3 linked regions of the Rattus norvegicus genome follow. The protein of the gene in region 1 interacts with the protein of each later gene in a pairwise test. Links are inferred from orthologs where the notes say so. Each region holds a gene or a part of one and is shown in the gene's direction. Other genes may lie near its edges. The genes, in order: Drap1, Gtf2b and Pole3.

Region 1 (4,159 bases):
GCCATCCTCACGACCACCTGGAGAGTCCTCCTCTTCCAGCTCTTCATTTGGTTCCATCCTGTTGTGAGGGAACTGAGTCAGAAGTTTGAGACAGTAAATAAAAAGTACTGGGTCCTAGAGGGTGCCAGGCACTGCTTTTAACTGTGGCCTTGGGCAAGTCTTAATGTCTGTGCCTCAGTTGCTTCATCTTCACAATGGGATAACAACTGATCCTGTCTAGATTTGTCTCTAGAATAAAATGCCTGAGGTGGAGTCGCTATTGTCAGTACTACTTTCACTGCTTAAAAACAAGGAAATTGAAACTCTGAGAAAAGGGGCTTGCCCAAGGTCATGTCTGTAAAGACCGTTAAAGCTTAAGTGTTAACTGGCACAGGACTCTGCTACACCACAGGACTAGAGTCTCGCAGGTAGCGCGGCGCTGCAATTTAATGGACGTAGGCAAAACGCAGGTTCGCCAATCTCAGAGGCTGGCTGGAGAGGGGCCAGGCCTCCCATGGTGAACTATTTGGGGCACACTTATCAACACCAAGACTCTGAGACCCAGAGAGGACAGCGGCCCATCTGGGGGTCAATGGGCAACATCCGGACTCGAACCTGATAGGACAGAGTCTGCGCGAGGACCAGGCTCCAGCCTTACCACACCCGCCGCCATTAGTGTTCACAGGTAAGGGTTGCCTCCACCCCCGGGCTGCCCTCTCGTCGCCCCACAGTCACCTCCGGCCTTCACTCCGCTCCGCGCCAACCCAACTTCGGGCCCGGCTCCGTTCCTGCCCGGGGTCTGCGCCGCCACCCCCGCCGCGCCCCGCCCCTGCCACGGCCGCCGCCGCCGCCGCCATCTTAGGGTCCCGCCACCTCAACAACAACTTTATAGACAAACACAGTCACGGGGCGGGGCCAGAGGCGGAACCAGAAGGCTAGGGGCGGGGGCTCCAGGGGAAGGGGCGGGCTGAGTTCAGGGGCGGAGCCAGCGCGAGAATCCCGGGAGGTGCAGGTCTTCAGGAGGCGGAGCTAACGTTCGTACTTTAGCTTGGAGGGCGGGTGGGCGTGGCGGGCGATCCCTGAGAAGGACGCGCACCGCCCTAGAGGATCCAAAGCCCAGCGCTTGGGTTTTGGGAGCTGCTTTTCTACGAACGGCACTAGGACCCTGCGAGAAGTGGTGTGGGCGGAGTAGGCGGCACCAGGACCGGGGGGAACCGCGGCCGGCTGGCGGCGAACAGGCCCGGGGCCTGGAGGCTGCGGGCGGCGGCGCTGGGCCCGGCGCAGCGTGAGAGGCCCCGAGATGCCAAGCAAGAAGAAGAAGTATAACGCGCGGTTTCCGCCGGTGAGCACGTGGCCGGGATGGGCCTCTGCAGGCTAGGTTCCTGGGAGGCTTGGGCCCAGGTCCTGCTGGTGGGGGGACGGGTGCTTTTAGGTGTTCATGGCCTGACGCCCCGCCCCTTCCATGCCCTCCTGGCTTAGTGCCCCCCGCCCTCTTCTCCTGGGATACCCCCCGGTTCACTCAGCTCCCCTGTAGAGACGCAGGAGACGAGCTCTGTCCCCTTCCCCTCGGCAGGCGCGGATCAAGAAGATCATGCAGACAGACGAAGAGATTGGGAAGGTGGCGGCAGCTGTGCCTGTCATCATCTGTATCCTACTAGGGGCTGGCTGGGCTGAGGGGCGTGGGGCGGGACTGCGGCACTCCCCTTTTTGGATTCTCCTTGACGTCCTCAGCCCGGGCACTTGAGCTCTTCCTGGAGTCTCTGTTGAAGAAGGCTTGCCAGGTGACCCAGTCTCGAAATGCCAAAACCATGACCACGTCCCACCTGTGAGTGGCCGCTAAGCTGGGCTTTTGAGGAGGCAGTGTTCTGACAGGGGGAGTGGTGCGCTGCTGAGGGAGGCCAGCTTTGTGGGTTTGGACTGATGTAGGAGAGATAAGGTGTTTCAGGTGGAGGGAACAACCAGAGCCAAGCCGCCCGCCCGGGAGGCCTGGTGGAAGTGGGGAGGGGTGTTCCACTGTACTGACACGAAAAGGTTGTTTCTATGATTCCGGAACATCAGTGTTTTGGGGGCCCTTTTTGAACACCTTCCTCTCCCACTTCTACAGGAAGCAGTGCATTGAGCTTGAACAGCAATTTGACTTCTTGAAAGACTTGGTGGCATCTGTGCCTGACATGCAGGGTGATGGGGAAGACAACCACACGGATGGGGACAAGGGTCCTCGAAGGTGGGTAACCAAAACCAGGTATATAAGTGGGAAAGGCCAAGGCCACAAGGGTTGGGGGTGGCTGGGGGGTGAAGAAGGGGAGAGAGTCCTCTGTGCAGATGGCCTGTACCTTCCCGAAGGGGCCGGAAACCAGGCAGCAGTGGCAGGAAGAATGGAGGCACAGGAAGCAAAAGCAAAGACAAAAAGCTGTCCGGGACAGACTCAGAACAGGAGGTGAGTGAGGCCGGTGGGGAAGGCCTGGTCTCATCCTTGTTACAGCCTTTGTATCTAACTCCATTGCCTTACCAGGGTTCTGGGCTCCCCAGAGAAGGGCCCAGACCTTCTCATTAACCTGACCCTTGCTGTGCTCACAGGATGAGTCTGAGGACACAGATACAGATGGGGAAGAAGAGACACCACAGGCCCCACCCCAAGCCAGTCACCCCCCTGCCCACTTTCAGAGGTGAGCACCCCAGGGATACCAGAAAGAGGCACAACAAACTCCCCAGAGCCAGTTAGTTTTACTTCCCTAGCCATTGGTGGTGGTGGTGGTGGTGGTGGTGGCGGCGGTGGCGGCGGCTGACTTTAGGGAATGGAGGGGAGAGAACACTATTAAACACAAGAGATTGTTCTGAGAAGGCCTTGCCTCCATGGTAGTGGGTCGGGGAGAGAGTCTGGAGAATGGTCTTTGCTGGGACCTTCCCTCCTAGGGGGGTTGTCTCCATGATGTAATGGGTGGCTTTGACTACACCTGCTTCTGTCTCTGGAGAATGGGGGTGGGCCTGTGGGTTGGGCACAGCACAGTTCCAAGCTCTGATTTTCTCCATTTTCTGTCCTGCAGCCCTCCAACTCCCTTCATGCCCTTCACCTCTCCTCTGCCTTTACCCCCAGCACCTCCCGGCCCCTCAGCACCTGAGGCAGAGGACGAAGAGGATTATGACTCCTAGCGCCCTTTAACCCTGGCCATATGCTCTTTTAGTTAGTATTAGTTGCTTTGGGGAGAAGAGAAAGATGGAACTGTTCTTAAATTTATTAAAAAAAAAAAAGGATTTTGGTTTCTTTTCATCCTGTGTCCAGGGCTTCGTGGCTGTATTGCCCATCCCCCCACCTCCCCACATGGGGGCAGCAGGAAGGAACATTGTTGGGGCAGCCAGTGATTGAGTTAAAACAGGGAGTCTGACAGGAGTCTGGGGCACTGAAGAAAGGAATGTGGTCTAGGGACTGAGTTGCCACATGCTAAGGGGTGACCTCTCATTGTGTGGGACCTTGGGCACCTTCTTCCCCTCTCTGGACTGCTGAGAAGGGACAGATGGAATCAGTACTGAGACGGGGCCTTGAAAAGTATAGTGTTGGGCTGGAGAGATGGCTCAGCGGTTAAGAGCACTGACTGCTCTTCCAGAGGTCCTGAGTTCAAATCCCAGCAACCACATGGTGGCTCGCAGCCATCTGTAATGGGATCCGATGCCCTCTTCTGGTGTGTCTGAAGACAGCTACAGTGTACTTATATATAATACATGAATAAATCTTTTTAAAAAAAAAAAAAGAAAAGTATAGTGTTCTGCAGCCAGTGCAGTGACGGGCTCGGCACAGTGAAGAGACGGGTACCTGAGATAGCAGAGGGTCTGCGAAGCATCTTTGGAGCCAAGCAGTCTGCCAACTGTATCTGAACAGCCTGGGCAACCTGTGTGCCAAAGGCAAGAGGTACACCTTCAGGGAGCAGCAGCCATGTGGGGTTCCCAAGTGTAAAAGCCCTAGAGGGGATGGTAAGTCATCTGTCAACAAGCTTACCAGCTTCTTCCTGATGGAGGCATTCAGAGACCCTTAGGGAATGTGCTAGGTGTGTGGGTGCGGACAATGGTGGCTGTAGTCTGGGGAGACTCAGGGTAGGCCTTAGGCTTGAAGATAAGCTGCAAAGGACCAAGGGAGGATATCACCTTTGCACCTTTTCTCATTTTCTTCTGCTCTTTGGGACTCCTT
Region 2 (4,158 bases), on another chromosome or scaffold:
CAGTGCTCTCTGTTTGCTCCAAAGATGTTTCCAGACTTTGAGCTCTTCCTGCTAAAGCATACCAGTGAGACTGTTCAGGTCACGTGCTTTGATATCACATACCCTGCCACAGCCTCTTTGCTTAGAAAATATGCCTGTCTGCCTTTTAAATTCTGCCTTTAAATTTTTATTCTGAATTATTCTCTGCCTTTCCCTGTCTCTGTTTCTCTCTGTCGTGTCTGTCTGTCTTTGTTTTTGTGAAACAAAGCCTAGAATTCATGGGGATCCAGATATCGGCCTGCCTCTTCCACCTGCGTGCTGGGATAAAAGGCTTGCACCACCAAACCGGGCTTCATTATTCTTTGTGTCACATAAGAATAATTTTATTATTTTGCTTTGATCTTTGAGACAAGCTCTTCCTATGTATATAGTCAGTGTAACCTTGGTGTCTCTGTTATACCTCAGCCTCCCAAATGCTAGAATTATAGGCATGGATTACCATATTGGCTTTTTCTTTCTGCAATCTTTAAACTGTTCTTTCTTGTAAGATTTGGGATATGAATGGTAGCACATTGTTTACATAGCTTATCCTGGACTGGCATAGTTGGTAAATGCTGCAGAGCACACATGTAAGAGGACATGGTTCTAAGCTGACGCCAAGTGGCCACGTGAGGAAGCTAACCATCAGCCAGCCTGGGGAGCTGGGTGAGTAACTGTGTGCTCGTCTTCTTAGGGGACCGGGTTATTGATGTGGGGTCTGAATGGAGAACTTTCAGCAATGACAAAGCAACGAAAGACCCATCTCGAGTTGGAGACTCTCAGAATCCTCTTCTGAGTGATGGAGATTTGTCCACCATGATTGGCAAGGTAATAATTCCACCTAGCAGGAAATGTCAAGAGGAGACTAGATAACAATCTAGAAAGTTAAGACTTTTGCAAAAGTGTCATTCACTCACTAAAAGTGTCACACAGAGGAGACCCTTGACTTGGAAATAAGATTCACCAGTGTTAGTATTGTGAAAGTCTGCCAACATTTTTTCCCATCATGAAGGGAAGAACAAATTACAGTCTCGTAATCAAAATTACAGACTTGGGCTGGGATTAAGAGCATTGGCTGCTCTTCTGGAAAAGTTGGGTTAAATCCCAGCACCCACAGTGAGGCCCACAAACTGTCACTGCGGTCCCAGGGGATCCCTTTGGCATCGGTCATGCAGTGGTACACAGACACACACACAGGCAAGCACCTGTATACATATTATTACAAAATAACGTTACCATCTTTGTACTGGTTGTGTAAGACTTTTTTCTGAGGAGATCCAATATGAACATCTGTTTACCCCAGATGGAGAACCAGTGATGGACCCAAGTAATGATGCTACCATAGGCACGAACTGCAATCCTAGAGCTTTCTTCAGGCAGCAGGCCAAGCTGGAGAATCTCTGCAGGCTACGTAGCCAGTCATAGGGATATATGTGGTAGACACCTACTTAAATGTCTGTGAAACCAGCTTCTTTAAAGCATGTTCTAGTGGAAGTTTTTGTTGGAACCAGGGGCTCCACTGGACAGACTCCCAGGACAGATGGAGTCAGAGCCTGTGCATTACATCTTCATAGACGCCGTCTGTTCAAATCGTCCACAAAGGTTGAGCAAGGTTAACTCTTTCTTTGATAGGGTACAGGAGCGGCAAGTTTTGATGAATTTGGCAATTCTAAGTATCAGAACCGGAGAACAATGAGCAGCTCTGATAGAGCTATGATGAACGCATTCAAGGAGATCACGACCATGGCAGACAGAATCAACCTCCCACGCAATATAGTTGTAAGTTCTTGTCCACCTCCTTTAAGACATTCCGACATTCACTTTGTATAATTTAATGAACACATAAAATTTTGATACTGTAAGTAATTAAATGGTCTAGACTTAATTAAACTTAGTTTCTCTGCTTTGAAGGATCGAACAAATAATTTATTCAAGCAAGTATATGAGCAGAAGAGCCTGAAGGGAAGAGCTAATGATGCGATAGCTTCTGCTTGTCTGTACATCGCTTGTAGACAAGAAGGCGTTCCCAGGACATTTAAAGGTAGGCTTCAGTTGTACCAAAGAGCTCAGACAGGCAGCTTTGAGGCTTAACGGCTAGTGTGCTGTACTCGGTACAGTAGACCATGTACGCCACTTACCGTGGCTCTGTATGGTTTTTGACAGAAAATGCACAAGACAGTCTTCTGTGCAAGCTGCTTTTGCAGGTAGCATCTTTTTAATCCCTGTAAGGCCACAGTACAGGTGACTGTTTTATGGGTTTGAAGGCCTGACATATGCTGCAGAGGCTTTTGAAGTTACATCTGTAGCCAGTGATGAAAACAATGGCTAGCACAGGTTTCACACTTGAGGGGCTCAAGTCTTGGAAGACATCAGTGGAATTTTTTTTTTCCTGTTTATTTTGAGGCTTAGTGTTTGCAGTTTTGTGCAAACCAAGGTCTTTGAATTAAGTGCTGGCTTTTGTCAAGCTTGTGTTTACTCGGGCACAGGATAGACTCCTCCCGTGTTGCTGTGATACACTGCCCTCCACTGACTAGGTCCGGGTTGGGACTACATTCACCATATCCAACGAGCATCTCATGAATTTCCTGTGTCAAAGTGAGAGGAGTGGCTGTCGCATGTCTTTTTGCTGTAACAACCCAAACAGGGATAGCAGGTTAGCTTGTATTGTGACAGCACGCAGACAGTTGCAGGGCACATGTATGCACTTGCATTCTTCAGACTGAGTGTTGTCTTTCTTCTCCTTAGAGCCTGCCTTATAAGGAGATAAGAGAAGTTGATTACTTGGAGAACTTTTTTTTGTATAAATTGAACTAGATAAGTTTGTATTCTGGAAGGATGGAATGTTGAGTAATAAACCACAAAGGTAGTATTGGTGAAGGGATTTATGACCTCATCTTAAGCCTTGATTGAATTCTTTTTACAACCAGAATGTTTTATTTTTATAATAAAAATTATAAAATGAACTGTCTTACAAATATTTTAAGAATATTTTCTCTTTTAGAAATATGTGCTGTGTCTCGAATCTCTAAGAAAGAAATTGGCCGTTGTTTTAAACTGATTTTGAAAGCTTTGGAGACGAGCGTGGATCTGATCACAACTGGGGACTTCATGTCCAGGTTCTGCTCCAACCTTTGCCTCCCCAAGCAAGTGCAGATGGCAGCTACACACATAGCCCGCAAGGCTGTGGAGCTGGACTTGGTTCCTGGCAGGAGTCCTATCTCTGTGGCGGCAGCAGCTATTTACATGGCCTCCCAGGCTTCAGCTGAGAAGCGAACACAGAAAGGTAGGATCTTCAACATGAAGTCATCCATGAGATGGCAAGGTTGGGAATGTAGTGGTTTTACTCCTAATCTCCCATGAGAAAGGTTAACTTTTCAGATCCTTGAAGAAACATTAACCCATAAGGGAAAAGGATTGGACATAGTCCTACTCACCAAGAGTAGGCTTGAGAGCCTGGTTTTCAGTCCCAGCACCTCACAACAGCAGACCCCTGAAGAAAATACAGTAAAATACAGTAAAATACAGTAGCTTATAGTGATTATTTACAGGCATAGCCTTGTGTACAAGTCTCCTTCTCCAAATTAAACTTTAATTTGTGTCTTTTGTGAAGGGACCTATTTATTGCAGCATATCAGTGGTTCCTCTCCCTGGGTGATGCGGTATAGGCCATGTTAGAGCAGATTAAAAGTAGATAGAGGCAGGCTTCTTAGGAGGAAGAGCTTGAGCGGGTTCACCCATCTCGTAGGTGCAGGTCAGTGAAGTACTCCTGGGTGGGCCCTCGAGTGAAAAATGATGACGTTAGCCCAGGGTATTTTCTGTATGGAAGGACTTGGGGGAAAGATGGGTTTCCTGGCTTGTGCAGGCATGAGCAGGGCTCCCTACCTACGTTCCATCACTGAGGAAAACGGTACCCCTTTCCCCAGACACCATTGTCAGTCATCCCTCAGAGAGGGATGTGGCCTCGTGGCTCATCCCCATTTGTGTGGTTTTTGTTGTTTTTTGAGGCAAGGTTTCATCCATCACAAGCTGGCCTCCAGCTTGCTGTGTAGCCCAGGATGGTTTTTATGCTGTGCTCGGGATAAAGCCAGGCTCTGCACATGGTTGGTATATTGTCTCAGCTCTGAAACTGGATAAAAGTAA
Region 3 (4,258 bases), on another chromosome or scaffold:
TTATACTTATTGACTGTCAAATATATGAGAGGACCTGTTTGGGACATAGAGAATAGCAATAAACAAACACTTGGTTCTAAACAGCTTCTAATTTAAATTAGAGATAGGGATCTAGTGGCCTGGGCTGCACCTGGCCTAGGAGTAATTTATCTTGGCAGGCACTTTTAGCCCATGTCTTAAAAACTGAAATGGTCCTATAATGTTAGATTTCTGGCTTTTCTCCTAGATCAAAATGCCTGACAGCACCAGTTCTAGCTAAATGGTGGCTGGAACTAAGGCTTATGACATCCTTAAGACAGGCCTGTTCTAAGTGCAGAATTCTCTCCATCAGAACAATCCCTTAGCATCATCACCCTAAAACTGTTGGATCGTTTTGTTTTGTTTCTCCAAATAGGAAAATGTTTCTTTGTAACGTCTCCATTAAAAATAGGAAAAAGTCTTGGAACATGTTTCAAGAAAAAAAAAAAGAAAGAAAAATTAAGAAGGAAATAAGCATTAGTTCTCAGGAGTATTTTTTTTTCTGTGCTTAATATGAAAATTATACAACTTAAAGCGACATTGTAAATGTTAACTCAAGTGATGATGATTTTGATAAGAAAAATGTAAGATGACTCACATAATGAATTAAAAAATACTTTAACACGGGTTTTTGAATGAGAATACAATGCATTATTCTTACAGTCAAATGCTTTTCGCCCTTTCATTACCGAACCAGTCCGAATTGAGCTGCGAAGTCTCATCAAGCTTTTGAGATTGCCCAGGTTACTGCTGTCCGAATAATAGCATTTTTTTAAACGAAATTTTAGATAAAAGTTATTCTTAATACAATTATCACAAAGTTGTGAAGGGAATGAAATTAAAGATGGACAATTCTAATGCATAATTCGGTGTAGTAGAATTGAATGAAAAGCTACACTGAGTTCCGGAAAAAAAGGGATGGGGAGGGCCACTCAAGTGTCCGTAGTCCGCGATTTCGCGGGATCAAAGCAGATTCCAAAGGGCTGTGTTCTGAGCCTCTGGGGGCGGACAATACTGAGATTGCGAAAGCACTCCCAAGTCTTGGCCCCGCCCACTTCTTCTAGAGGCCCCGCCCACTCGTCGGTCCCAGTCCTGCCTTGTCGGGCTCAGTCTACGCCTACCCCTTCCAAACTAAGCACCAGGCCGCACGGTTGCCTAGCAGCGGCGCACGGCACGATGGGAGAATAGACGGAAACCTCAGAGAGTCAAACTTAGTTTAGTCCGAAAGCTCCAGCGATGTGTAGTAAGAAACAAGCCTGGAGTGGAACGTCCAGGATGCGGTGGAAGCGGATGGAAACCTCAATGGTCCGAAACAACTGCGACATGGAAAAGCTGGGCTACCCTGGAGACTTGTGGCGGGGTTGATGTAGCAGAGAAGTTGTGGTGCGCAAAGCACTGTGGGACACTGGCAACGTAGGGTAGGACGGAAGCTTCCGAGGGTCATATCTTAGCGACGCGGGAAGTCCAGACACCAGAACTGTCTGCGAGGAGACCTGAGGAGGAGGGTAGGGCCCAAGCGGAGGCAATGGCGGAGAGGCCTGAGGACCTAAATCTGCCCAACGCCGTCATTACCAGGATCATCAAGGAGGCGGTGAGCTGCTCGGGCTGGAGAATGGGTCGAGGGCGGACGTGTGCCAGAAAGTTAACAGAATCCGCATGTGTGTTCATCTCCACTCTCCCTGCAGCTACCGGACGGTGTCAACATCTCCAAGGAGGCCCGAAGCGCCATCTCCCGCGCGGCCAGTGTTTTCGTTTTGTATGCCACATCCTGGTAAGCCGAGCAGAGGCGGAAGGGAGGCGCAGCGGGATCCTAACCCTGCGTTCGTGTCCTGGAACCCACAGGCCCCAGTTCCCTGCTTCACTAGAGAGCGACTCACAGCTCTCCTGCAGCCTCACAAATTCTGAGGCAGGTTAAACAAGACGGTTGTCGTAGCCCTTTGTACGGGGAAGGGATGAATTGAGCTGTGCCATACAAAAACCCATTCATCTAAGATAAATGTGGCTTTTCCCACCCCATCTCTGGCTGTCTCATGTCCCCACCACTTTGACAAGCTTCTGAAGGGCTTTGCTCTTTCTTCCAGTGCCAATAACTTTGCAATGAAAGGAAAGCGCAAGACTCTCAATGCCAGTGATGTACTGTCAGCCATGGAAGAGATGGAGTTCCAACGGTTCGTAACGCCATTGAAAGAAGCGCTAGAAGGTATCCATGTGCTCTTCTGCTTCTTAAACCACGTGAAAGATGTTCATCCTTTGTTCCCTGATCACCTGATTTCAATACTACTGCCATTAGGTCCCATTCACTGGTCCAGGACTGGTCATGATTCCACTCTGTTGAGTTGGTACCATTTCGAATATGTGATATGGGCCTGTTTATTCCTCTGGTGCCTCACTCGGTTTGTCTAATTAAACAATAATCCCCTGCTTCCTTACAGCATACAGGCGGGAGCAGAAAGGCAAGAAGGAAGCCTCAGAGCAAAAGAAGAAGGACAAAGACAAAAAAGATTGCGAAGAGCAGGACAAAAGCAGAGAGGAGGAGGATGAAGATGAAGAAAGACTGGATGAGGAAGAACAGAACGAAGAGGAGGAGGTAGACAACTGACTGGAGAGAGTGGGCAGACTCTGACACGGTGGAAGGGACCCTCAGATACTGAGATGTGTTTATGTGAAGCCTCTCCCTGCAAGGCAGAGCCATCTTCCGCAACGGTGCCTGAGATCAAAATAAAAACTGACCAGAAAGATCAAAGCTAGCTAGCTCTTCCCAAACTCAGAGCGTCTGAGTTACAGAAACCAGCTTTGCTTCATCAGTCTGCAGGTTATGCCTTATTAGTGTAAGGGATTCCGAATGACTACATAGTTTGGTATTGCTTGTTTACTTAAAGTGTATAGCTAGCTAGTTTTTGATCCTATTTCCCTGCTCCTCCAAAAAAGTAATAACATGTTTCTTGCTGCGTTCCAAGTTGCAGAGTTGCTAACCGGTCAGGGGGAAATGGGGCTTGGACCATGGTCACCCTGTTTGACTGTACAGTAATTGACAATAGATATTAATGCTCAGAATGGTTGCTCTTTAGGAAATGACTAAAAAGCTGTGAGAGAATAAGGAAATCTCCTCACTCGATGGTAGCATTGCTTGGCTTCTGGCTTTCTACACTTAGCTTTGTAGTCCTGTAGTGACTGTAGATGCCCAGTGCTCTGGTGTGGCTCCACTCCTAAGACATATACTCTTAAATTCTGAGTGTTGGTTAGAATCTGTCAAAAAAGGGTGCCAACTCCCCACCCCCACCCCCCCAGAGATGAGGATTGAACTCAGGGCCTTGCTAGGCAAGCGCTCAACCACTGAGCTAAATCCTCAACCCCAAGGGTGCCAATTCTTAAAAGCAGGTGGCTTAAACTTGGCGGTAACTCAGTGCCTGCCACTGTAGAACCTAGTGCCACCTCTTGGAAGGTATAAAATCCCAGATTGTCTCTTCTCTAGTCCACCTCTCAGATGATGGCTGCTGCTTTTTATCCCCTGAACTCATAGCAAGTTCCAGAGACTTTATCTCCTCCAGGCACAGCCTTTCTGTCTCCATCTCTCCCGCCTCTGCTTCCCAGCCCTGCTTTCTCCTCCTCTTATTCATTTCATCTTCTAGTCTAGGGACTCTGATAAAGTGCAAGGTCCTCAGATTGTTTCCTCATCTCCTGTCTTTTAAAGAGACTTGAGAAGCACCTCTGACCCTGAAGGTGAGAGAAACGGTGCTCAGGAATGTGGCACCACTGCTGCAGCTTTGAGCGTGCCTGTTGGCCTTTCTTTTCCCCATTTAGTGCTCCAAGCACTTTCTCTGTCTTAGTTGTGCACATGAGGCTGACAGGTAATGTAATATAGTTGAACACTGTTAACTAGTCAGGGAAATACAGGGAAGAGTTTGTTGAAAGTGACTGGAGACTGTTGAGAAGATTTTAATGCTTTCTACAAATAAATTCTTGTTTAAATGATGACCCACACAATGTACTTTTGGAAAGGACTCACCAAGACACCCCTCTTTTACCCCCTAACCTCAGCACACATACAGAGTCCTGTGTCTTCTTGGGTTACCAGCAGGTGAATAAGTAATCACAATTTAAGGGCACTGCTCTTCCTGAGATTCTCCTGGTTACTTTGTATATCTCACTAGCTCCCACTTCCTAAGCTCTTCCAGTGTCTAGCATTGTTCTAAGTGCTTTCAAGTATCAATTCCTATCCATAGATGTTGCCTCTATTAGC

What was found.
Region 2: the proteins of Drap1 (region 1) and Gtf2b interact in binary tests that used the Homo sapiens proteins (3 or more experiments, as listed by UniProt). The two-hybrid records come from large-scale screens. The link is inferred for Rattus norvegicus from reciprocal best matches to the Homo sapiens genes DRAP1 and GTF2B.
Region 3: the proteins of Drap1 (region 1) and Pole3 interact in binary tests that used the Homo sapiens proteins (3 or more experiments, as listed by UniProt). The two-hybrid records come from large-scale screens. The link is inferred for Rattus norvegicus from reciprocal best matches to the Homo sapiens genes DRAP1 and POLE3.

What each region holds. Positions count from the first base shown.
Region 1 is NC_086019.1:212,160,678-212,164,836, reverse strand, and holds Drap1 (dr1-associated corepressor), read left to right. Parts: upstream 1-1,074; 5' UTR 1,075-1,279; coding exon 1,280-1,321; intron 1,322-1,552; coding exon 1,553-1,625; intron 1,626-1,710; coding exon 1,711-1,804; intron 1,805-2,083; coding exon 2,084-2,203; intron 2,204-2,301; coding exon of another isoform or gene 2,302-2,322; coding exon 2,323-2,416; intron 2,417-2,556; coding exon 2,557-2,645; intron 2,646-3,023; coding exon 3,024-3,129; 3' UTR 3,130-3,725; downstream 3,726-4,159. Other genes in the region: Bles03 (UPF0696 protein C11orf68 homolog), read right to left, coding at 1-58, 715-836. UniProt on the Homo sapiens protein: The association of the DR1/DRAP1 heterodimer with TBP results in a functional repression of both activated and basal transcription of class II genes.
Region 2 is NC_086020.1:234,440,864-234,445,021, forward strand, and holds part of Gtf2b (transcription initiation factor IIB), read left to right. Parts: intron 1-712; coding exon 713-846; intron 847-1,650; coding exon 1,651-1,797; intron 1,798-1,929; coding exon 1,930-2,059; intron 2,060-3,019; coding exon 3,020-3,301; intron 3,302-4,158. UniProt on the Homo sapiens protein: General transcription factor that plays a role in transcription initiation by RNA polymerase II (Pol II). Involved in the pre-initiation complex (PIC) formation and Pol II recruitment at promoter DNA.
Region 3 is NC_086023.1:80,990,015-80,994,272, reverse strand, and holds the start of Pole3 (DNA polymerase epsilon subunit 3), read left to right. Parts: upstream 1-1,530; 5' UTR 1,531-1,543; coding exon 1,544-1,609; intron 1,610-1,703; coding exon 1,704-1,789; intron 1,790-2,099; coding exon 2,100-2,218; intron 2,219-2,450; coding exon 2,451-2,617; 3' UTR 2,618-4,258. Other genes in the region: C5h9orf43 (uncharacterized protein C9orf43 homolog), read right to left, coding at 680-740. UniProt on the Homo sapiens protein: Accessory component of the DNA polymerase epsilon complex. Participates in DNA repair and in chromosomal DNA replication.